3 linked regions of the Lytechinus pictus genome follow. The protein of the gene in region 2 purifies or fractionates together with the protein of the main gene of each other region. This does not show direct contact. Links are inferred from orthologs where the notes say so. Each region holds a gene or a part of one and is shown on either strand. Other genes may lie near its edges. The genes, in order: lysosomal aspartic protease-like, transmembrane protein 192-like and lysosomal acid phosphatase-like.

What was found.
Region 1: the proteins of transmembrane protein 192-like (region 2) and lysosomal aspartic protease-like purify together in Homo sapiens (affinity purification with western blotting; 3 studies listed by BioGRID, with this or other methods). This does not show direct contact. The link is inferred for Lytechinus pictus from reciprocal best matches to the Homo sapiens genes TMEM192 and CTSD.
Region 3: the proteins of transmembrane protein 192-like (region 2) and lysosomal acid phosphatase-like purify together in Homo sapiens (affinity purification with mass spectrometry; 3 studies listed by BioGRID and IntAct, with this or other methods). This does not show direct contact. The link is inferred for Lytechinus pictus from reciprocal best matches to the Homo sapiens genes TMEM192 and ACP2.

The regions. Positions count from the first base shown.
Region 1 is NC_087246.1:13,756,707-13,765,083, reverse strand, and holds the start of lysosomal aspartic protease-like, read right to left. Parts: upstream 3,223-8,377; 5' UTR 2,915-3,222; coding exon 2,847-2,914; intron 2,087-2,846; coding exon 1,933-2,086; intron 1,350-1,932; coding exon 1,226-1,349; intron 622-1,225; coding exon 503-621; intron 1-502. UniProt on the Homo sapiens protein: Acid protease active in intracellular protein breakdown. Plays a role in APP processing following cleavage and activation by ADAM30 which leads to APP degradation.
Region 2 is NC_087252.1:4,499,564-4,507,681, reverse strand, and holds the start of transmembrane protein 192-like, read right to left. Parts: upstream 3,155-8,118; 5' UTR 3,047-3,154; coding exon 3,011-3,046; intron 1,929-3,010; coding exon 1,773-1,928; intron 1-1,772.
Region 3 is NC_087263.1:5,269,902-5,277,637, reverse strand, and holds the start of lysosomal acid phosphatase-like, read left to right. Parts: upstream 1-4,532; 5' UTR 4,533-4,636; coding exon 4,637-4,732; intron 4,733-7,736.

The sequences.
Region 1 (8,377 bases), on a different chromosome or scaffold from region 2:
CGATGAGTTTTGATTTTACACCCATACCTACGATTTCCAAATTGGCAAGTTATAGCTAATTAGCCAATTTGGAAAATGTAGATAATGATGTAAAATTACTCATCAAATCGTATTTTGAAACTATAATATACTACCAAACACATTTATGTGTATATTTGACTTATTATCCGTAAATAGAATCCATAAAATAGGCAAACGTATTAGAGATGAAGCTTGTTGCTGACGTCATAATTCTAGGAAATAAACTTGGTCTGTAGTTTTCTGATACTCAATTACGATCAAAGACCCTTTTACAGAAAAATTCAAACATTGCATGTTCTTTTTTTAAATTTTCTCCTCTGTCATCCTCCCCTTTAACTTATCCGCCTTCATTTTGCAATCTAGGCCTTCTCATCTTCTTCCTCCTTTGTTAGATCCACTTTCTTTTCCTCCCCTTTTGTTCTGACATCCCCTCCCATCCATCCCCACATCATCAAGTTCATTACCATCAAATATAACTCACCTGTATTGTATCCTCACTGACGAATCCAGAGCAAGCACCCGATCCATACTGTAGAGACCATTTTGTTCCATTAGCAACATAAGTTGATGATTTGGAGCTGTCGTACTTGTGATGAAAGCCTGCAAGTTAGGGAAATGTAAATATAATTTTTACTTTTAAAACCTGTATGTGTGCATGAATGTGCACATCAGTGGCGTACGCAAGGTGGAGGGGGGTTACAGGTGTTCAACCCCCCCCCTTTGATTTTTTTATACCCAACCCCCCTAAAATAAGGTTGAAGACCTTTTTTTTGCTTGCTTGTCATTTTTTTTTTTTGGGGGGGGGTTACCAAATGACTTAAAAATATGGGTGAAGACCTTTTTTTGTTGGGGGTGTCAAAATTTTTTTCATTCAGCTTGAAAACCCCCCTTTCATTTGAAAAATACTGCGTATGCACACATCTATACAACATGTGTGTATACAGTACATGTCATAGAACTATGTTTATAAATACTGGATAATCAGGTGCTAAATGACTGCGTACCAGTACACTTATTTTTCAAAAGAAAATTATCATCTTAAAAACTAAGGAAAAAATGAATGAGAAAAATCTGACATCTTGCTGGAAAAAAAATTATAAATCAGAATCTGGATTGACATTGGAGGAATATCATCACTGCTTTGGAATTAAAAGACTAAAATATCCCAGGACTAATAGGGTTGAAATATAACAAGCAAGCTTACGACAGGCAACGTCAAGGAAACCACACTTGACAGATGGTACCCAGAGATCAGCACTGCCAGTGTCAAAGACTACAGTAAAATTCTGGCGAGGTGTGCCAAGAGAGATTTCTCCATAGTACTGGGCCTGCAAAATGAAAAAATAAATAAATAAAATTAAAATGGTTAGCCATCACACCATCTCAAATATGCAGATCTGTGGTGAGAAAAGTTAAAAAACACCTATAAACAGACAGAATGCAGATACACAGGGATGGCAGTGACAGTGCCTTTGGAACGTCCATACAGACAATGTCACCACTCCGGGGGGGGGGGGGGGGGGGGGGGACAAGAGACCTCCCCCCTCCCATTCTGTATGCCAAAGATGCTGGAGCAGACAGGTTTTGAGAAGTATAACCAAAAACTTATGAAATTGAACACAAAAAAATGTTAAATGCAAGTTGACATAAACACACAAATATACTTATAAAATAAAAGAAGACCACTCATCAGGAGCACAGTAAAAATCTGAATCTTCCATCATATTTTAATGCACAAAATTGTCATACAGTATTATTGGAATAGACATGTGAAAAGTAATTTTATTGTTTTGATTCAAGATAATAAGTTTGCTGTTTCTTGCCTCTTCTTTTATGAAAAATATACATGTAAAAAAAAAAACTTTGAATTTCTGTTCCTAATAAAATATGAGGTGTTGTTCTTGGGCTCACATCAAGATAGTCGCTCATGTTTACTGGCCATGGTGTGCCAAGTTTGTTGGTGTTCATCATGTTGTACTTGTTGGAAAGTTGAGCCAAATCTTTAAAGGGTAGTCCTGTGTTGGCCATTTGATGACGTACAGATTCCATCTTCTTCAGTGGTACCCTGAGAAATAAATAAAGATTAGAATTTGTATTGATGTTAACTTGTCATCATATAAATCATGATAAATATAAGCCAATGCAATCATTAAAATAATAAAAAAGGCCTACATATTCAGGTAAAAATATAAAAAAACATGTTAAGAATTTCATACACATTTACATGAAAATAAGGGAACATTTGGTTTGATTCACAATCCACAATTCAAAGTTCCATCTACAGATCATCAGAAAAAATACTTGCATTATAATAAAGATAGTCATGAATTGTCTCAATTTCAAGAAAATTAATGTTCTTGTGTATCCAACACTACAGCAAACTGCTGCAATGCTGGAACAGTTTGACCAACAGATGAGACCTTAAAGAATAAATCAGATGTATTGATTTGACAAGACAATAAAATCTTAATCTCCAGAGTCCAGTGTTATGCTGACACTAAGTCTGGCTCCATTGGTTTCTTCCATCTAATGTTAACAGTTTAAGGAAGAGATTTAAGTAGCTTGTTAGGGTTTAACTTACTCAAACTGGTTCCTATGCCATGTCAATGAAAAAAAAAATAGGCCTAACCTTTTTTTTAAAGAAAAATGTTTCAAACTCTTAATTTTCTTATGAAAGAAATATATATTTTTTCCTGTCTAATTTTTGCCTAAGATAGTTTCGGCTCGATACATTTTTTGACAGGACTGCTTGGATTAGATGACTGTACTTATTTAGACATTTTGGCTTACGATTATTTGTGGTGAGTTGTTTTAAAGTCACTCACCTAATAAGCTGCGCGTTTGCTGCAACTGCCAGCAGCAGCAGCAGTGCTGTTGCGAAAAACGTCTTCATTCTCCCTTAGCCTTGCTGTAACTTGTTAGATGTGAAATTCCAGATCAAACCCCTCTAGAATACAGAGCTGCCTTCACATTCCTTTTTCAGGAGGAAGAGTTTGGTTGGGGACTTGACTTTTCTTGGATTTAAATGCAAATAAGAAGCAGAATACATGGGAGATCGGAGAGCAGGTACAAGTCGGGTCGAGTCACGGGACGCATCATGTGATTCATCAGTGCTATAGATTGCATTGTACGCGACCTCTATTGATTTTCTCTCAACAGAATTGCGGAAGACATTTAAATCACATGACCGCGCGAACTGTCACGTGATTCTTTTGTTGTAGATTGGTACGCTATAAATCATAGAGGTGGATGTTTATTTTATCCACCTCTGATATGAATGACAACCAGGGTCATATCCCACCACTGTCCAAAAGAGGGACTCGGAATAAGAAAGAACGATCAACCTGATTGGTTCCTCGGAGGAGGAGGGGGGGGGGGGGGTGGGGGGAATTCTTAAGACTTAAGTTAAAATATTTTTTATCTTAATTTTTACTAACAAGCACTGGCGTACCTAGGATTTTCCAGAAGGGGGGCAAATTTTTAGGAGGATATTTCGTCCGCGAAAAAATTTGACTAGCAAAAAGAAAAGAGGTCTTCAACCACAAATAAAGGATTTCTTACCACAAACAAAATTGACAAGCAAAAAAAAAAAAAAAAAGGTCTTCAACCAAAACACAAAAGGATTTCTTACCACAAAAAAATTGACAAGGAAAAAAAAAAAAAAAGGTCTTCAGGTTCAAATGAGGGGGTACACGTCTGTTTTTATTGCAGTTTTACATTACAAATTATTGATTTGGCTTCTCAAAGGGGGGGGGGGGGGCACGTCCCATGTATCAGTTGTGACTTGTCAGGGGGCAGGGATACGTCCCCTGCATGAGTTGTGACTCGTCAGGGGGGGGGGGGGGCAGTCTGCCCCCCCTTAGGTACGCTAGTGCTAACAAGAATAAGTCTGTTTTAATATAAGGTGAAAATAACTAGTGGTTTAGTTTAGTGGGTAGGAAGTGTCTCGCTTTGCTAAACCTGATGCCAGCCTGCTTGTGTCGAGCAACGATTTTATCATTATCGTCATGATCAATGTATGGTTCCAAGATAGTTTTTCCTCATGATAAGCACCCCACACCAAAAGAAATCTCGTTGGGCCCTCTGAATGCTGTCAGGTAAAGTCCCATGCAACCTTATTACTAATATAACTAGATTTATTTTGTGTTAGCTTATTTCCAATTTGCAGTATTCAAAACTTGCTTTAAGTTTTGGATCGTGAAAAAAAACTAGACATACGAAATCAGAAATAACATTTCCATTTGGCTAAAAATATATTAAAAAGTAAAAACAGATAAAGGGGGGGGGGCACGTCCCCTGTATCAGTTGTGACTTGTCAGGGGGCAGGGATACGTCCCCTGCATGAGTTGTGACTCGTCAGGGGGGGGGGCAGTCTGCCCCCCCTTAGGTACGCTAGTGCTAACAAGAATAAGTCTGTTTTAATATAAGGTGAAAATAACTAGTGGTTTAGTTTAGTGGGTAGGAAGTGTCTCGCTTTGCTAAACCTGATGCCAGCCTGCTTGTGTCGAGCAACGATTTTATCATTATCGTCATGATCAATGTATGGTTCCAAGATAGTTTTTCCTCATGATAAGCACCCCACACCAAAAGAAATCTCGTTGGGCCCTCTGAATGCTGTCAGGTAAAGTCCCATGCAACCTTACTACTATTATAACTAGATTTATTTTGTGTTAGCTTATTTCCAATTTGCAGTATTCAAAACTTGCTTTAAGTTTTGGATCGTGAAAAAAAACTAGACATACGGAATCAGAAATAACATTTCCATTTGGCTAAAAATATATTAAAAAGTAAAAACAGATAAACAAGAAAACTATTTTTTTAGTAGAGAGACTCGACGTTTCGGACAGCTTGACTAAGCTGTCCGAAACGTCGAGTCTCTCTACTACTCATCATCTCTACTCGCCGACTCAAGCCAGCATCTCCTCATTAGCTCTACTACTCAAGCTGTTCTCAACTCATCAATCTTTCCTGGTTTAGAGTCCTTTTCAGGACGACTTTCAAGAAAGAATACTCTACTCTCAAATCTCCACTTTCTCGCCTATCCATTTCTTCTCTTCTTCTATCCACTGTTTCTATAACACTCCACATGGTGTACCGTAAACCACATCAGCGATCATCATGTTTATGGCATCTCCTTGCCGTACTATGAATTTGTACTACATAAACAATAACTAATATGTGTTGGTGAATATAGGCATTCAAACAAAATATATAGGCACGATAAATGATACCCGGGGGCTTGCCAAATGTCTTACTGTACACACGGGTGGCCAAATTATTTCCAAACACCCCCTAAACGAGTTTTTCTCTGCCGGTGCAAAATAACCCCCTAAACAAGTTTTTCGCGAGCTTCATTAACACATTTTGGCCCCTAAACAAGTTGTCGCCAGAATATGACCCCCCAAACAAGGTTTGTCTTCTTGCTAACAATATATTTAAATATAGACAAGACTATATTCATGGGTATTGCATACCCCCCCCTCCCCCCCCCCCCCCCCAGTGCAGTAAGGGTTAAAATACCACAATCAGGAAGAACCTGAGCACTTTTCAGAAACGAGGAGGAAAAAGCCCCGGGGAAAAAGCTTGAGGGAAAAAACATACCCTAAACACGTTTGGCCAGTCTTAGAAAAAAAAAGCTTTAGAAAAAAAAAATACCCAAAATACGTTACGGTTTGACCCCGCAAGTGACCATTGACCAGTCTTTCAAAACCACCCTATATTGAAAATCGGTGTTTTTGATACCCTTAACCGCGTTTTTTTTGGTCGCGCGTTTGTACAGCAATGTATTTGACTGCCTCCCCCTCCCCGGGAAAAGATAGAGCAAATTTTGGTCTAATCCGGGGAAATTGTCGGAGTGGGGAAAATGCTTGCAGCTATCCAATGTCATTGGTTAATTCAACCTGTTCGCATTGACATCTTCATTATTTAGCCATGAACGGCAACTCATACATTCGCTTCATGATAATTGAATTCAGGATTACACGTAAAATTTTCGTCCAATAGGAAATGACCGGACGTTATTTCATTTTCTGTGCAGTTTAAAAGGGCGTCACAGTGAATCTTTCTCTGCCATGGCCGTATATATTTGCCATAAAAGCGCCTATCCTTCAGGTTTCCACTTTGATGATAAGCCGAGTACTTGAACCAAGGCTGGCCTCCATGTCGTCTAATTATCAAAATGCTGGTACGAAGTGATCGATTTGACATCGTTCTCATCTGACGTTTGATTGATTATCAGTCATTTCATTCGATTGCTTTCATGTTTAACATGTTTTTCAGTCTCGTATCCATCGTGTGTTTGGTGTTTTTCGCGGGAAACGTTAATTTCACTGAAGCATTGTCTATAAATGAAGAACCAAGAGGTGAGAAGACGTAACTTTTTTATTTATCTAATCATTGTTGTTCTTGATTAAAATAATTTGGAATTGTGCATCAGAAGAATAAAATCTAAAAATATTCAACAGCATCTAATCTCATATCAGATGCAAGTCCAAACTTTAAATCCAATTATGTCCACCATCCAATCATTTAGATAGCTCTTCACTGGTATAATGAGTTTGTATTAAAACAAAGTTAATGAAAAGGGAAAGAGGGGAGAATACAGCTTTTGACTTGAGCGTGCCAATATGGAAATAAAAAAGATCTGGAAATATATCTAATCACTATTGTTATATTCAATTATTATATGATATTAAATCAAATCATTAAAGATGGTAATCAATGGCGTAACTGCGGGGGGGGGGGCGGCACGCTCCCCCCAATCGGCTGCCCCCCCAAAAAAAAAACAACGGAGGAAAAGGAGAAAAAGAGGGAGAAGAAAGATAAAAAGAGAAACGTAGTGGGGGAAGAAAAACTGCCTTATTGTGTATTATATCATATTACTTTATACTATATTATATATATCATATTATATTACATTAAAAATCAACTTTATGAAACCTAATTTGCTTAGGGGCTATGTGTTCATCAATCCTTGGATCGCATTGTCTGTTTAATGAAATAAATGATCCTGTTCAAGGGGATTAAATGATACTCAAACGTTTTAAGTCAATATAAACCAAATATATTTCCTCGCACTTCGAGTTTTTATTATTTTATGTAGTGACATATGCTTCGATCTTTTTCATGACTACTTAAAGTGATTGCCCACTTTTAAGGTCTGAATATAAAACATTTCCAGTCCGTGCTGTCATTCGCATTAGTGGATTGGTGAAATATGTCTGCTTTTCATGAATTCCTTGAAACAGTCCTTAAAATGTCCCCTCTTATGGCCTGAATATAAAAAAAATTCAGCTCCCGCTTTACGCGCGTATCATTTGGTAAGTGAAATATGTATGGTATAATTAAAATGCCCCTCTTCAGGTCTGAATTTCAAAAAAAAAATTCAGCTCGCACTTCGCGCTTGCAATATTTGATTAGTGAGATACATTTCATGAAACTACATAAAGTGCTTTATGTGCTTAGGCGGAATTCTAAAAAAAAAAAGAAAATCAGCAAGCGCTTGGCGCTAGCATTAGACAAATGTTAGATGACTATGGTGAGATATGTATGCTCTTCATGAATTCTTTAAAAAAAATACTCCTTAAAATGTCCCTAAATGTTTGGGGGCAATATATACAAAAATTTATGCTCGCTCTTCGCGCTCACATTGTTTTTTTTTTTTTAGGTCTGAATATCAACAATTTTCTGCTCGCGCTCGCGTTATTTGATCAGTGACAAACATATCCGTTTAATGGCACAGTCCTTAAAATGGCTCTATTAGGTCAGTATATTCGGCTATTGACCGCGCTTCGCGCGCCCACTAAGTAACTCAAAATTTTTGCTGATGCCCCCAATGTCATGACCCAAGGTATGCCACTGAGGGTAATCATAAAAATATATTGCATATTACGTGTAAGAATCTTAACATATAAATATGTAAACGTATTTTTTTTTTTTTTTTTGTATGTGTATTTGATAATATGGCTCACATGAAGAATTTGTTTGTACGTTATAACCATTTTTTCTATCATACATCTGCAGAAGAAGAAGACCCAAATTCCGAAAGCTTATTATAAAATTTGAAGAAACCCAGGCCAGTCTATCATGCCTTAAGATTTCTTCCCTTATTAGCATCCTTTCAAATTATACGTCACAAAAGCACCCACGCAATGTTTAGGTCTTTCCTCTTCACATTTGTGTAATATAATATATTGTGAAAAATAGGTTAAGAGAATAATGGTACGCGTAGCTTAAATCAAAGCTCCTCAGAGCTATCCTCCCTCGGAAGCATTGATGAGGCAGAAAAATATCTCCTCTGGGAGGATAGCTCAGGGGAACTTTGATTTAAGCCCACGACTACCCGTATTCTATAATA
Region 2 (8,118 bases):
ATAAGAGATAAGGAGTGCAAGGAATATCATCACAAAATTAATGTACAAGTTAATGAATTGGTTCCATGATATATGCGGCAATTGCTCTGATAGAAAATCTGTACGCTAAGCCAAACATAAAACCTAACCTTCAAAACTAAATAAACTCTGATCCTTATCTTGACATTATTCTGAACCAAAAACTCTATTACAATCCAAACTATAACCCTATGCCCTATTAAGACCACAACAAATGTTGCAGTCTGAGCAAATGTGTCACCAATGCATTATGAGAGATAAGACTATAGGTGATCATGGACGGAAATCCCAGGGGGGACGCATCCCCCCTACTCAAAATCGTAGGGGGACACAATATCAAGTGTCCCCCCTACTATTCTTTTTTGTAATGATGGAGAAAAATACATCATTCGCAATCGAAATAATACATATATATTTTGGACTAAATGACGAAATTACCATTCATTTTTGGTGAAAACATTTTTTTTTTGCTCGTTTAAATTTGTTGGTTAAAATGACCTTACATTTTTGGTGATAACCTTTTTTTGCTTGTCAAAGTTTCCAGCCCCTGGTCCCCCTACCTTTGGGAGACATTTCCGCCCATGTAGGTGATGATATAATTAATAATATTAAAAGATTTATGAAGAAGATAACATGTAAAATCTAATTCTTTTTTTTATGACACATCTAAGTTAACCTCATTAATATATTCCAGGAATCATGTACTCACAAACTGACAAAATATAAACAGCACAATACAAATGCTCTCACTATTGATATTGTTTTATATTTTATATGTATAAAAAATATAAAAACACACCATGTATAATAAATATTACATGATTAATTATCTCAACTTACAGTAGGCTAGATATTGATTGCTAATTAATACAATATTAAGGAAAAGATCTTTCAATACCCAATAAATAAATAATTACATAAATAGATACATAAATAAGTATATAAATAAATGAATTAAAAAAATGAATCTAAAGATAGATAGATAGATAAATAAATACAGTTGAGGCCAGAAGTTTACATACATACATACACCCAGGAAATTTAAAGAAAAGTTGACACTTGCCAAACATCATAAAATTTACTGTATCTTATAAAATATTTGTGCTATTATGACGAATTCAATATAAAACAAATGAGTAGTCATGCCCCTTCATCACATTGCTTTATCATGAAGAGCTGAAACATATTTAGGTGTTATTTTTCTCCAAAAAATCTTCCTATTTTAGACAAATTCAAAATAAAAACTCGACAAAAACATTTCATATTTGTGCTAGTTACTTCTCAACACAAACATATCAGATTGCTCTTTTTGTTCAGTGGTGACATATCATGATAGAAAATGTAGTATAAATCATTTATTTGACATTTATATATAAATGAAACGATGTTTGAAAATATAATAACAAACAATAGAATACAATTGGCACGAATATTATTTTTTTTCTTCAAAGAAAATTCCACCTGTAATATACTTTGATCCCAATGCCATCCAAATCATGTGAAAGAGCTTAATACGCTTTTTCATCTAATACCAAATTTTGCATGGTAGTATTTATATTTCTGAAGATATAGTAAATTTTACGATGTTTGGCAAGCAAACAAATTTCACTGAATTCCATGGGTGTATGTAAACTTTTGGCCTCAACTGTACATAAATGAAAAGAAGTAAATAGGTAATAAGTAATTAATAAATCAATGAATAAATAAATAAACAACAAACAACATAATCTAAGGTGGATAAATCATTGACTTACAAGGATGATTATCTGAAGGACAGCCGCCCAAACTGCTCTGATTGGGCGAAACTTTGGGGCTTCTTCCGATGCCAGGCCATTACTTGGAATCAGTTCCTCGTCATCATTCTGGAAATCAGCTGAAGGGTTACCACCTTCACCATCAAAGAAAAAGCCCTGGATATGAAAATGAAAATCCATATTTTATCATTCGAAATAGACATGAAATGAAATACTCCTAATATTTGCTTTGCCCAATTGATCGTGGGCCCAGCATGCAGTCGCTGTGCAGCGCCAAATCGACGAGGCTCTATCGTTGAACGCCAAGCAGGGTAGCAGCAACTCCCATCTTTTAACGTCTTTTGGTCTGACACAGCCAGGGTTTGAACCCCCGACCTCCCGGTTGTGAGACTGACGCTCTACCAACTGAGCCAACACACCGGATATATAACAGTTCAAACATGAATTGAATGGATCCGTCATTAAAAAAATGGTCTGTTCTGTTTCTGAAAACCTGTAATTCTGTTTCAAAATCTTCTATTACATAGAAAAGGAAAATAGAAATCCTGTTTTTCACATTACACATAGCCATACAAAATTCATGCATGTCACAGAAAGCCAAAAATAATTACAAGAATTCCATTTTGCAACATTCGAGATCGTTAGTTTGTTAGTATGTAATAATGTAGTGCGAGTGGTTTTGCAAAGGTAAATCACTTGAAAATTAAGAACCAAAACTGATTTTTTAAAGGTAAAGCCAAGTTAAATGCATAGAACTTGTAGAAGGCCCTCTTTTATGATTAATATGGTAAAACTTCATATATGGTAAGGTCCCCAATGGCCATGTCTGCATAGTGTAAAGTGAATGGGTGCGCAGACATTGATGAGGCAACATTTTCTGTTATCTGAAATGACTGGCCAAGGTTTTTTCCAAGAAAATCATACAGTGCAGGCCTATTTCTCTCATTTTCAATGAGATTTTTGGCACATTTACTCATAAGAATATAAGGAACATTATCACGTGATTTTTTTGTGGACTAAAGAGGAATTCATGTTTAATCGCCAGTTAAATCTTTAGCGTTTTTCAGGTGCGCCGACATGCCGCCCCTTCGTACACAAAATAAGGATACATAAAAATGGACGTGCGGGGCACATGACCAAAACATTTTTGCAGGCTTCGAATTCTAGGCTAGTAAAGACTGAGTTCATCGATTCATGCAATTAACAGCATGAAAAATTGTTTCTCTGTACACACTCACCCCTTGCCTTGTACTGTCATGGTCCAAGCTAACCATTTTAGTAATAACTATAAAACTGAAATTATGTGAGATTTGTTTTCAATTTCCGACTCCCATTTACAATCTCGAAGTCGAAGAATGACGTATATCTGACCGGGGTCACCTGACTCTAGCATGTCACATGATCTAGCTATCTTCACTCGGATGGGGGGGGGGGGGGGGGGGGGGGGTGGTGATTAGAGTGATTCCCCCTTGATTCAGGGGCGGATCCAGGATTTTCCAAGGGGGGCAAATTTTTCGGAGGAAATTTTTGACAAGCCCTCCAAAACAAGGTTTTCAACCACAAATAAAGGATATTTCGTACCAGAAAAATTTGACAAGCAAAAAAAAAAAAAAAAAAAGGTCTTCAATTTCATTTTACATTAAAAATGTGGCCCCTCCCCACAAAAATGATTCTACTAATGAAAAAAAAAAATATAATAATAAATAAATGAATAGATAAATAAATAAATATATCTAAATAAATAAATAAATAAAAGTTAAACAAAAACACTATGACTTTTGGTGCATGGGGATGATGATGGTAATGATGATCATAGGCGGATCCAGGGGAGCCCGAGGGGCTCGCCCCCCCCCCCTATTGGCGGAGCAAAACATGAAAAAAAGGGGGAACGAAAGAAAATAAAGAAAAAGTAGGGGAAAGAAAGGAAGAAAATAATAGGGAGACGAGTGAATAAAATAAGGTCAGAGGAAGACTTGGAAAATTATTAAAAAATATATATCATGTCACTATATCAAATTTTTGCTCGTGCTTCGCGCTCGCATAGCCTGTTCGATGAAATACATGTCTTGCTCAATAGGCTGATATGTAGCTTAAAATATCAAGTTTTGAAGTCAATATACAATTCCAGCTCGGACATCGAGCTTTCATTATTTTGTTTGATTTACTAATTGATTTTTTAAGTGCTTTTTAAAATGTCCGTTTTATTGTGTGAATATAATTTGCAGCTTTTTATATTGTGCACTCGCATTATTTGATTTGCCAAGTAGGCTTACATATTGTCTTTGTTTATTCCATAAGATTCTCAATTCTGTAACAGACTACTTAAAATCCCCCTTTTATGACAGTTTATCAAAAATTTCGTCTCGCGATTTGCGCTATAGCATTATTGTTGAAAATATAACAATTCTTAAGAGCCCTATTCATGATTACAAAAGTGCTTGAAATATCCAGTTTTCAAGCCTAAATGTCAACAGATTTCACTCACTCATTAGGCTTATTACATTAATAAATATGATAATAAAATTTTCATGAATTCCTAATAACTAAATTGTCCCTTTTTAGAAAGGAATATCGACAAGTTTCATATCGCGCTTAGGAAGAGGAATAGGAAGATAGTCATCATATTATGATGACAAAATGTCCTTAGGCCTTGAATGTCCAGGTCCTATATAGGTCAAAATAATAATATCAGCTTGCGCTTCGCACTCGCATCATTTATTAAGTGCTACCCACATCCTCTTCACAATTCCCCTACACAGTGCTTTAGATTAAAATTATAATTATCTAAAATTAAGTTACATGTACTCTAAAATTATCAAAGTTTCAGATCAGAATATCAAAAATTTTCTGCTTGCGCTTTGCGCTCGCAATATTAATGTAGAAAGATACCAAATTACCCATCCTTTTTCATGATTTACAAAACATGAATAGAGTGTCCCATTCTTAAGTCTGAAATCTCATTTCTTTTTCTGTTCGCGCTTCGTGCTCGCATCAATTCTTTGGTTTTATATCTATACCGTTAATGATTACAAAAAGTGCTTAGAATGTCAATTTTTTAGGTCGGAATGTCAAAAAAAATTCAGCTCGCGCTTCGCGCTGGCATTATTCAATAGTTGAAATATGTATCGTCTTCATGGCTGACTGCAAAACGTCCTTAATAGGTCCCTTTCAGATCAAGCCAGAACCCATTTTAAAATGTCCTGCTCGCGCTTCGCGCTCGCAGTTATTATCTAGTTACAGGTTCACAAACATTGCCCAGAATATTCAATTTTCAGGACCAAATACATGAAATTCCAAAAAATTTCAGCTCGCACTATTTAAATAGGGCTAATGAGATTATTACACTGTTTTATAAGAATAAAGCTAAGAAATAACTGTTAAGACAACGGCGTTTTGCCCCCCCCCCCAAAAAAAAAATAATAATAAGAGAAAAGGAAAGGGATAAAAGGGTAAAATATAGGCCTATTATTTTGCTAATGTTATGTCAAAATTTATCACAAACTTTGATTTTTGTAATAAAAATGTCAAAGTTTTTGCTCGCTCGCAACTTCTTAATAATTTTACGCGATACGCCGTATCGAGCCCACTCCCCATTTTTGGCTCATTACGCCACCGGGACAACCCATTCACAGAAACAAACAAAAATCAACTTTTAGCGGCCGATCGGGAAGAATATGGGTTAAAAAAATTCGCCCCCCCTATCATGCCTTATGGGAGCTTGATCCGCCCATGATGATGATGGATGATTGATGATGATTGATGATGATGATGATAACAATAATGATGATAATTATAATAAAAATATTAATGATAATGATAATAATAATTCATAGAGCACGAAGTGCGTGATGAAAATTGCTCAGATCAGAGAAAGTGAAGTTTAAGCTTGTTTTAAATCATAACATGATCCGTACGTGTGATCTGACGTTAAGTCAAAATTAATTCCTCCTGGAACATGTGGAATTAGCATTGCTTAATACTATGGCAGGTGCCGCGGTACGGTTTTCAAAGTGGGGGGGGGGGGGCTGACCATGCAAAAAATCACAATCATATGGTCATTTTTACATTTTTGTACACGGTTTTGGAAAATAGTGGGGGGGGGGGAGGCTGAAGCCCCCCCCCCAGCCCCCCCCCCCGGTTCCGCGGTCCCTGTATGGTTCAGTCAAGCAGGTCCTTATTGTCAAATCTGTATATTGTATAATTTAAACAATGTAAAACAATAGAAATAGTGAAAGAGGGACATTATTGTCTGTCTCATTTGCATGTCACTGAGTTGTGCATATCACTGTTTTGTGAAAAGTAAGCGAAATTTTAAAATGTCATCATTTGTTTATTTTACATCCGATTTGATAAAATTTTCAGCGTTATGCTTTTTCTCTATTTATTCAAATCAACATTTTTTCTTGGGTGGACTTGACCTTTTAATCATCAGGGATTTGTAGTGGTTTTCTCCTACGTACCCATTCCCTTAATTGGGGCAGTAATCTAAATATACGGTAATATATTGTTTTATGTCCTCATGAAAAAATACAATTTGAAGTAAACCTTTTGAAAAAAAATACATTTTAGCCATTTCATGTATTGGAGTACTGACAGTGGCGTAACTACGGGGGGGGGGGGGGCATGGGGGGGCACGTGCCCCCCCCTATCGGCTGGCAAAAAAAAAAAAAAAAAAAAAAAAAAAAAAACGGGAGAAAAGGGAGAAAAAGAGGGAGAAGAAAGAAACGTAGTGGGAAAGAAGAATTTATTGTACATTTTAATGTTATATTATATTATATGTTGTGTTATATTACATAAGAATTTTTTTTTTCATAACTTTATGAAACATAATGTGCTCAGGTCCTATTTGTTCATTATTCCTGGTACTAGCATTGTCTGTTTAACGAGATATACATGTACAATCATGTTGTACCAAAACGTCCTGTTTTCAAGTCAATATGCACCAAATATATATCATCGCACTTCGAGTTATTATTGTTTTATGTAGTGACATATGCTTCTTTTCATGACTACTTAAAGTGATAGCCCCATTTTAAGGTCTGTATATAAAAAAAATCCTTGTTCGTGTTCGTGCTTACGTTCGAATTAGTGGATTGATGAGATTTGTCTGCTCATGAATTCCTGAAATCGGTCCTTAAAATGTTTCTTTTTCTAATGTAAATATCAAAAGATTTCAGCTCGCGCTTCGCGCTCGCATCATTTGTTTAGTGAAATACGTATGGTCATAGTAGATTCCTACAAACAAGCCTTAGAATGCCCCTCTTCAGATCTGAATTTCCTATATTTTTAGCTCGCACTTTGCGCTACTGAGATGCGACGTATGATAATCATGATTACTATGACTACAAAAAGCTCTTCATGTGTTTGAATGTGATTCTAACAAAATCAGCAATCGCTTGGCACTCGCATTGGATGACTATATGGTGAGATATGTATACTCTTAATGGATTAAAAAAAAGAAATAGTCCTTAAAATGTCCCTGTTTGGGGTCAATATATACAAAATTTTCAGCTCGCGCTTCGCGCTCGCATCATTTTGTACGTGAAGTACGTATGGTCTTCGTAAATTCCTACAAACAAGCCTTAGAATGCTTCTCTTCAGGTCTGAATTTCCTAAATTTTTAGCTCGCGCTTCGCGCTCGCAATATTTGATTAGTGAGATGCGTATTTTAATCATGATTACAACGACTACAAAAGGTGTTTCTTGTTTTCTAACAAAATCAGCAAGCGCTTGGCACTCAAATTAGATGAGTATGGTGAGATATGTATTCTCTTATTTGATTTCTAAAAAATAGTCCTTAAACTGTCTCTGTTTGGGGTCAATAAATACAAAAATTTCAGCTCGCGCTTCGCGCTTGCATTGTTTGTTTAGCGAGACAGATACGTATTTTTTTATTTTTATTTAATAGCTTATTTTTACCCTTTTTAGATATGAATTTCAAAATTTTTCAGCTCGCGCTTCGCGCTCGCATCATTTGATCAGTGAGATACATTACATATCCGTTTAATGGCACAGTCCTTAAAATGTCTCTATATAAGGTCAATAGGCCTATACCTGGTAATTGAGCGCGCTTTGCGCGCTCACTGAGCGACTCAAAATTTTTGCTGGTGCCCCCCCCCCATGCCGTGACCCACGGTACGCCACTGGGAGTACATATCGAAGAGTAGTCCTTGCCTTACATCACTATGACATATGCAGCCAATTTGAAGTCTCCATGGGTAAAGTGATTACCAATATTTACAACTTTTTAAAATTCATAACTTTCTTGTTGTTTGTCTGATATTGTTCAAACTTTCACCTATCAATTTGTCTGATTTGTCTTTTTAATCTAAAAACTAGTTTTTAT
Region 3 (7,736 bases), on a different chromosome or scaffold from region 2:
TTTGCTGTGTACAATTCTGATTAATACTGCAAAATTTGATGAAATATTTTGACTTAGTAAAAGAGGTCGACCTCAACGTCGTCTAAAAGGTCAAATTCTTTTGAATGCGCAATTCGCGAGAACTTTATTAATTGAGAGAACTTCAAAGCTCAATAGCAAAATATCAAGCACAGTCATGAACCCATGTTATATTTTTTTATATTTGAAATATCCAGGTGCTAAAGTAACTCTGTGCAAAATTTTGTGAAAATGATATGGATTTCATTTTAAGTGTGAAACGTCCTTATGTAGTAGGCAAGATGAATGAAATTATGGGTATATAGGCCTAATAGGTATATGAGACGAAATGGTCATTACACTGAACTAAAATAAGTCATCACGAACCATTAAAAAATTGAAATTAATGCATTATATTACATAACATGTGGGGCAGCTGCTCGTTTATGACGTCACAAATCCAAAAGTTGAAATTCTAATAACTTTATTAATTTTTAAATATATTATGGTCATCTTTATCAAATCTTTACCAATATTTTTTATTATTTTTCTGTAATTTTTAAAACAAACTTATCTCCAGGGTGAACTTCCCCTTTAAAATATCCCTGTATGTCCTATACTTGTTTGGGGGGTCAACTCAAGGAATATAGGGCCTAATTGTCAAAGGTGCATTTTCAGAATATGGAAAATACTTGTTAAAGGACAAGTCCACTCCAACAGAAAGTTGATTTGAATAAAAAGAGAAAAATCCAACATGTATAACACTGAAAATTTCATCAAAATCGGATGTAAAATAAAAAAGTTATGACATTTTAAAGTTTTGCTTAATTTCACAAAACAGTTATGTGCACATCCTGGTCTGTATGCAAATGAGGAGACTGATGACGTCATCCACTCACTTTTTCTCTTGTATTTTATTATATGAAATATGAAATATTCTAATTTTCTCCTCATTGCAACAACGATTAATTCCTCCCTGAACACGTGGAATTAGCATTGTTTAATACTATATGGTTCAGTCAAGTTGGTCCTTATTGTCAAATTTGTAAAAAATTAAATATTGTATAATTCAAACAATAAAAAACAAAAGAAATAGTGAGTGAGGGACATCATCGACTATCTCATTTGCATGTTACTCAGTTGTGCATATCACTGTTTTGTGAAACATAAGTGGAACTTAAAAATGTCATAACTTTCTTATTTTACATCCGATTTTGATGAAATTTTCAGTGTTGTGCTAGTTTGATTTTTCTCTATTTATTCAAATCAACATTTCTCTGGGGTGGACTTGACCTTTATTAAGGATGCTTATCGAAACTCCATGGCCGCGCCTGGTATCTACTAGTCAATGGAAGTGGTCCCCCGCATAGGCGGATCCAGGGGGGCCCGATCCCCCTATTGGCGGAGCAAAAAAAAAAGCGAGGGAAGAAAGAAAATTGAAAAAGAAGGGAAAAAAGGGGGAAACATAAGAGGAGGAAAACGAGTGAATAAAATAAGATGAGGGGAAGACTTGGAAAATAATTTTACAAAATCTTTCATGGCACTATATAAAATTTTCGCTCGCGCTTCGCGCTCGCATTGTTTAGGTGATTTACATGTCTTGCTCAATAGGGAACTATTTTGAAGTCAATATACAAAACACATTTCAGCTCAGAAATCGAACTTTCATTATTTTGTTCGATTTACAAATTAATTTTTTTAAAGTGCTCTGTAAAAATTTATGTTATGTTTTCTGAATATTAACATTTTCTGTTTGTGCTGCGCGCTCGCAAAATTTGATTTGTCAGGTATACCTATTATTTTCCTGTATTTCATAAAGTTCTCAAAATATCCCTATTCAGGTCAGAGTGTCAAAACGTATCAGCTAGCGTTGTACGCTGGCATATTGATTGGTGCGTTATGCGTATCTCAATATTAATTCTTTAACAAGCTATACTAAAAATCCCCATTTCATGACAGTTTATCAAAAATTTCGGCTCGCGATTTGCACTCGCATTATTGTTGAAAATATTAACTCATGCATCTTATTCATAATTACAAAGTGCTTTAAATGTCCAGTTTTCAGGCCAGAACATATTTCGTGCTTTCATTAGGCTTATTAGATTAATTAACTAATTTAATAATCAAATTGTCCCTTTTTTAAGAATGGAATATCGACACGTTTCATCTCGCGCTTAGGAAGCGAAATATGAAGATAGTCATAATTTCCTTATGATGACATAATGTTCTTAGTATGTCCCGGCCCTATGTCAAAACTCAAAGTATTAATAATGAAACATAATATCACCTCTTTTTTAACTGTGATCCACATCCACCTCACACTTTTCCTACAAAGTGCTTGAAATACAGAGCTTAAATTGACCCTTTTTCAGATATATAGGAATATAAAATATTTTAAGCTCGTGCTTCGCGCTCGATTTATTGATTTTTATGATAAAAAAGGTATTCAGAATGCCCAGATTCTAGGCGAAATCTGAAACGCGCGCTCATGTTTATTCAGATACGCAGCTTGTTCTCTATTTAATCATCCAGTTTGAGATCACCATTTAAAAAAAATTCTGCTAGCGCTTTGCGCTGGCATTATTAATGTAGGAAGATTTCCCAATTACTCATCCTTTTCGTGATTTACAAAACATGAAAAGAGTGTCCCATTTTTAGGTGTAAATCTCGAATTTTTCCGCTCGCATCAATTGTTTAATTAGTTATGATCTTTTTCACGATTACAAAAAGTGCTTAGAATTTCCATTCTTCAGGTAGAAATGTCAAAATTTTCAGCTCGCGCTTCGCGCTCGCATTATTTGACTGTTGAAATATGTAATGTCTTCATGGCTAACTGCAAGCAGCCGTTAACAGATTCTTTTTTTATCAGAATAATAATATAAATTTCTTATTATTTAGTTGGATACACAATCATCCCGTTTAGGATCACATACATTGCCCAGAATGTTTAAATTTTAGAACAAAATACATGAAATTGCTCGCGCTCGCACTATTCAAATAAAACTTATTATATAGGCCCTATATATATTTATGTTGATTTTTAAGAATAAAGCTTACAATTAAAGGGATGGTCCAGGCTGAAAGTTTTTATAGCTTAATAAATAGAGTAGAATTCACTGAGCAAAATGCCGAAAATTTCATCAAAATCGGATAACAAATAACAAACTTATTGAATTTTAAAGTTTAGCAATATTTTGTGAAAACAGTCGTCGTGAATATTCATTAGGTGGGCTGATGATGTCACATCCCCACTTGTTCTTTTGTATTTAATTATATGAAATTAGGTTTATTCAATTTTTTTCCTCCAAGAACTAGACAAATTGGATTGACAACTGATTTAGTGCATTAGATATTTATTGCTGCAACTTATTTCATTATAAGGGAGACATATTATTCACACAAGTATGAAATAATGAAGAAAAAAAAGACTTTATGTAATAACATAAGAAAACTGAAAGTTGGGATGTGACATTATCAGCCCACCCAGGCAGGGAAGTGTTATAAACACTTCCCTGGCCCACCTAATGAATATTCATGACAACTGTTTTCACCAAATATTGCTTAACTTTAAACTTCAATAACTTTATTGTTTTTAATCCGATTTTGATGAAATTTTCAGCAGTTTGCTCAGTGAATTCTACTCTATGTATTAAAGGGGAATCCAACCCAAAGAAAAACTTGTTTTTATAAGAAAAAGAAAAATCAGACAAGTTGATAGGTGAAAGTTTGAACAATATTGGACAAACAACAAGAAAGTTATGAATTTTTAAAATATATAAATATTGGTAATCACTATACTCATGGAGACTTCAAATTGGCCGCATATGGGATGTCATAGTGATGTAAGGCAAGGACTACTCTTCCATGTACTCCAATACATATTATGGCTAAATTGTCATTTTTCCCCAAAGTTTTATTTCAAATTATATTTTTCTTTCATGAGGACATTAAACAATATACTACCTGGGTTATATTTAGATTACTGCCCCAGGGGAATGGGTACTTGGGAGAAAACCACAAATCCCTGATAATAAAGTACATGGCCTATGGGAAAGTTGTCCTTGCCCCTTGTCATAATTTACTTACCCAGTTGCCAATTTGAAATCTACATTCTGTTAGTGATCTCAATTTTAAAGCAGCTATAACTTTCTTATTGCTTGTCCGATTTCTTTCAAACTTTCACCATTCTGTTTAATTTATTTTTCTCCTTCCCAACACAACATTTTATGGCCAAGGCTGGATTCCCCTTTAAGATATAAATATTTTCAGCCAGGACCATCCCTTTAAGTGACTATATAGATCTAAAGCCTCTAGCACTAGAGGTCTACCCCTTCAAACAAACAAATATCAACTTAGCTTCGAGCGGCCGATCGGGGGAAATGTGGCTGAAAAAATTCCGCCGTCACCCCCCCCCCCCTATTGGCGAAGGCTGGATCCGCCCCTGCCCCGGGTTTCTTTCACTTTACACGTTCCGTGCCCGGTTTCCATGGGGGGGGGGGGGGGGGGTGGGGGTCGGTGGCATCTAAACCGTACCCCGGGAGCATCACATGACTTCATCTACAATCAGTCGATCAATCTTCCATTCTTGTCAACAAAAAACAGTGTTCCGGTCCGATCGGCTCACGGAAAAGAAGGAAAAATGTCGTTCTTAAGCTCTATCCATTTTATCTCTTTGGCAATTTTCATTGTGATAAGTGGTGCTATGTCAGAGAGTACCTTACGTCTCGTAAATGTGGTAAGATTTCTTTATTTATGTATCGAATAAAACTGAAGTTGAAAACTTTAACTTAGTCCCATGCGTTTAAAATGGATGCTTGTTTCACTTTCAGTTTTCACCTTTGGCTTTGACTTTGTGCCTCGTTTTATCTTCATCCAGCATAACTTGTTAGTTCTTATTTTTTCATGGCAATCACTTACTACTACTACGGTTTATATTATTACTGTATTATCATTCTTTTGTTATGTTATCATATGTCATGCCTCATGGCAAATGGTTTGAATTGTAGGTTATAAAATTAAAAATGAGCATGAAACTTATAATATTAGGACTTAATGACAGCTCGATGACAATTAATCTTAGTACCCGGGGGGGGGGGGGGCCACTTCCATTCACGAGTGGATACCATGCGCGACCATGGGGTCTCGAAAAGCACCCTTAACACGTAATTTCCATACTCTGAAAATGCACCCCTTAACAAGTATTGGCGTGTGAAACCCTACCCTTAACAAGTATTGGAAACAAAACGATACTCTTGGCAAGTATTCCCTGAAATGAACCCCTAAACAAGTAGAGGAATGTTTTATTGTTACGGGTCCTTCGGTCGTCGGCTTTACCTTATTTGGTTTAGTACGACCCCACCTTCTACACCTCGCGCAAATCGGACTCTAAACACGAAGTGTTGGGGCAAAATGGACATCCTTTATAAAACATTTTAATTTTGTTTCATCATTCCCGCAAATTCGACCCTAAACACGTAATTTTCCTAGCGAAATAGACACCCTTTTTTTCATTATTTTTGTGTTTTTGACACCCTTATCACGTTACGTACGTAACGTGCCCTATCGTGAAAAGGACATCCTTTTTACGTGTTTTTTTGGTCGCGCATGGTATCCACTCGTCAATGTAAGTGGCCCCCCCGGGTCTTAGTACTCATTCACATCAATCTATATTTTGAGAAATTCCCAGTTTCTTCCTTTCTTGATGAATCCCCATAAATACTTTAAAAAATCATTAAAATATCACTTTTGTGACCAAAATTACTAATTTTCATACAGTTGCAATTTATTTTTCATTAGTAACTTGGGAATAATTTTTGTATTCACCAGAGCCTCTGCCAGCGCTCAAAAACTTGATTTTGGGGCATATTTTTGTGTATGCCCTGTATTGGTGGAAAGTAATATGGCAAGACAATTTTCATTTTTTGATCTCTATTTTTAATTAAGAAAAAAATAATTTAAAGAATCAAATTTACTTAAGAATAAGAGCCAAGTTGAATGACGAATAGGTGTAATGGAAACTGTCAGTGTAAAAAAAAAATCAAGCATTTGTCCCAAAGAAAAAGAGAAAATAAGCCAAACATTGCCACCCTTATTTTGTCACACATGGAGATATAACTGAGCTGAGGACAAGGTTATATCATAACCTTGTTCATTGAATGAGTGGATTTATCCTTTTTCATTTCCCCACCTTTTTAAATGGATCGATCTATGATTTGTGTCATGCAAACTTAAACATGCATATTGTCTTGAAAAGTTCATTATCATCACATCAGATTGAAATATGAATATGATGAAAGAATGTTTTCTAAAGTAATCAATATTTTATTCATGTAGATAAAAAAAAAATCATGTTTTTTATAGAAATTAAAATTAGACTAAAAAATTATGAAATAGTTTTTCTTTGAAACATGCATAATTGATTAACTGAATAATTTAACTAATAAGGTAATGTAAAGCAAAAAAAAAACCTTTTCATATTGAAAAAAGTGTACAATTTGTCATTGAAAAGGTAAATTAGGATGTCATAATCTAGTAATAGATCCTTGCATGAACAAATTCAACCCCACTCATTCAATGAACAAGGTTATAATATAACCTTATTCTCTGTTACTACTACTAGTACTACTCCCTGTGTGGCAAAGTAAAGGTTGGCAATGTTTAGTTAATTTTCCACAGTGGCAAATTGTATAGAACGGATAGGGGAGAGTTCAATGCTAGCGGGCGTGTACATTTTACTTATTACACGACGTCATCCAGCCACTGCTACGAGCCATTTTATGAATGAAAATATAGTGTTGTGTTGTCTTCGGTTCAATATTGCACTTTTGCTTTCAACCAGACTTAAATGAGACGAACCAATGCAAGATGTAGAGTTCATATATTTTTATTAAAGATGATAACTTGATGATGATGATGACAAATACATGTACATTCATGAGTAAGTCTGATGGTGACTATACTCTGAAGATGAAGATATTATAAATGCTGCAAACTGATGTAGTATACTTTTCTGTAGACAGGAATAACCGTAATTTCTGGGGATTTCCTTAACAATTTCTGACATTTCCCTATAATCCCCATTCACCGACGGTAGTTCGTTATGTGAGCTCGCATGTGTTATCACTTCCGCCAATTCGCCGATTAACTGTCCAGACTTTAATATTCTTTTTTAATTCGAATTTACAGTCTAAGGATTTAGAAACTACCCAACTACTATCTTGAATATATGGTTACACTTCGTAATTCCGAAGGTTCTTTATTCCGAAGGTTCGTAATTCCGAAACAAAAAAATTGCCTATACCTCGATGTTCGTTAATCCGAAAACGTAAAAGGGTTCGTTAATCCGAACATTTGTGGCGTTATTCCGAAGGTTCGTTATTCCGAAGGTTCGATAATCCGAAAACGAAATAAGGTTCGATATTCCGAAGGTTCGTTAGTCCGAAAACAAAATAAGGTCATTGTTCCGAAGGTTCGTTAGTCCGGAAACGAAATAAGGTTCGTTAATCATCACGTTTTCGGACTAACGAACCTTCGGAATTACGAACCTTCGAAATACGAACCTTTGGAATAACGAACCTTCGGAATATCCGAACCTTCGGAATAACGAAGCTTCGGAATTACGAAATGTATGTGGAATATATAACAAATAACGACATATGCAAAAATCGATCAAAAGGTATGAAAATGGTACTTTACCGATGTTTTCTTGTCCCGTCTTGGTCTCGAGAATCACCCCCAAA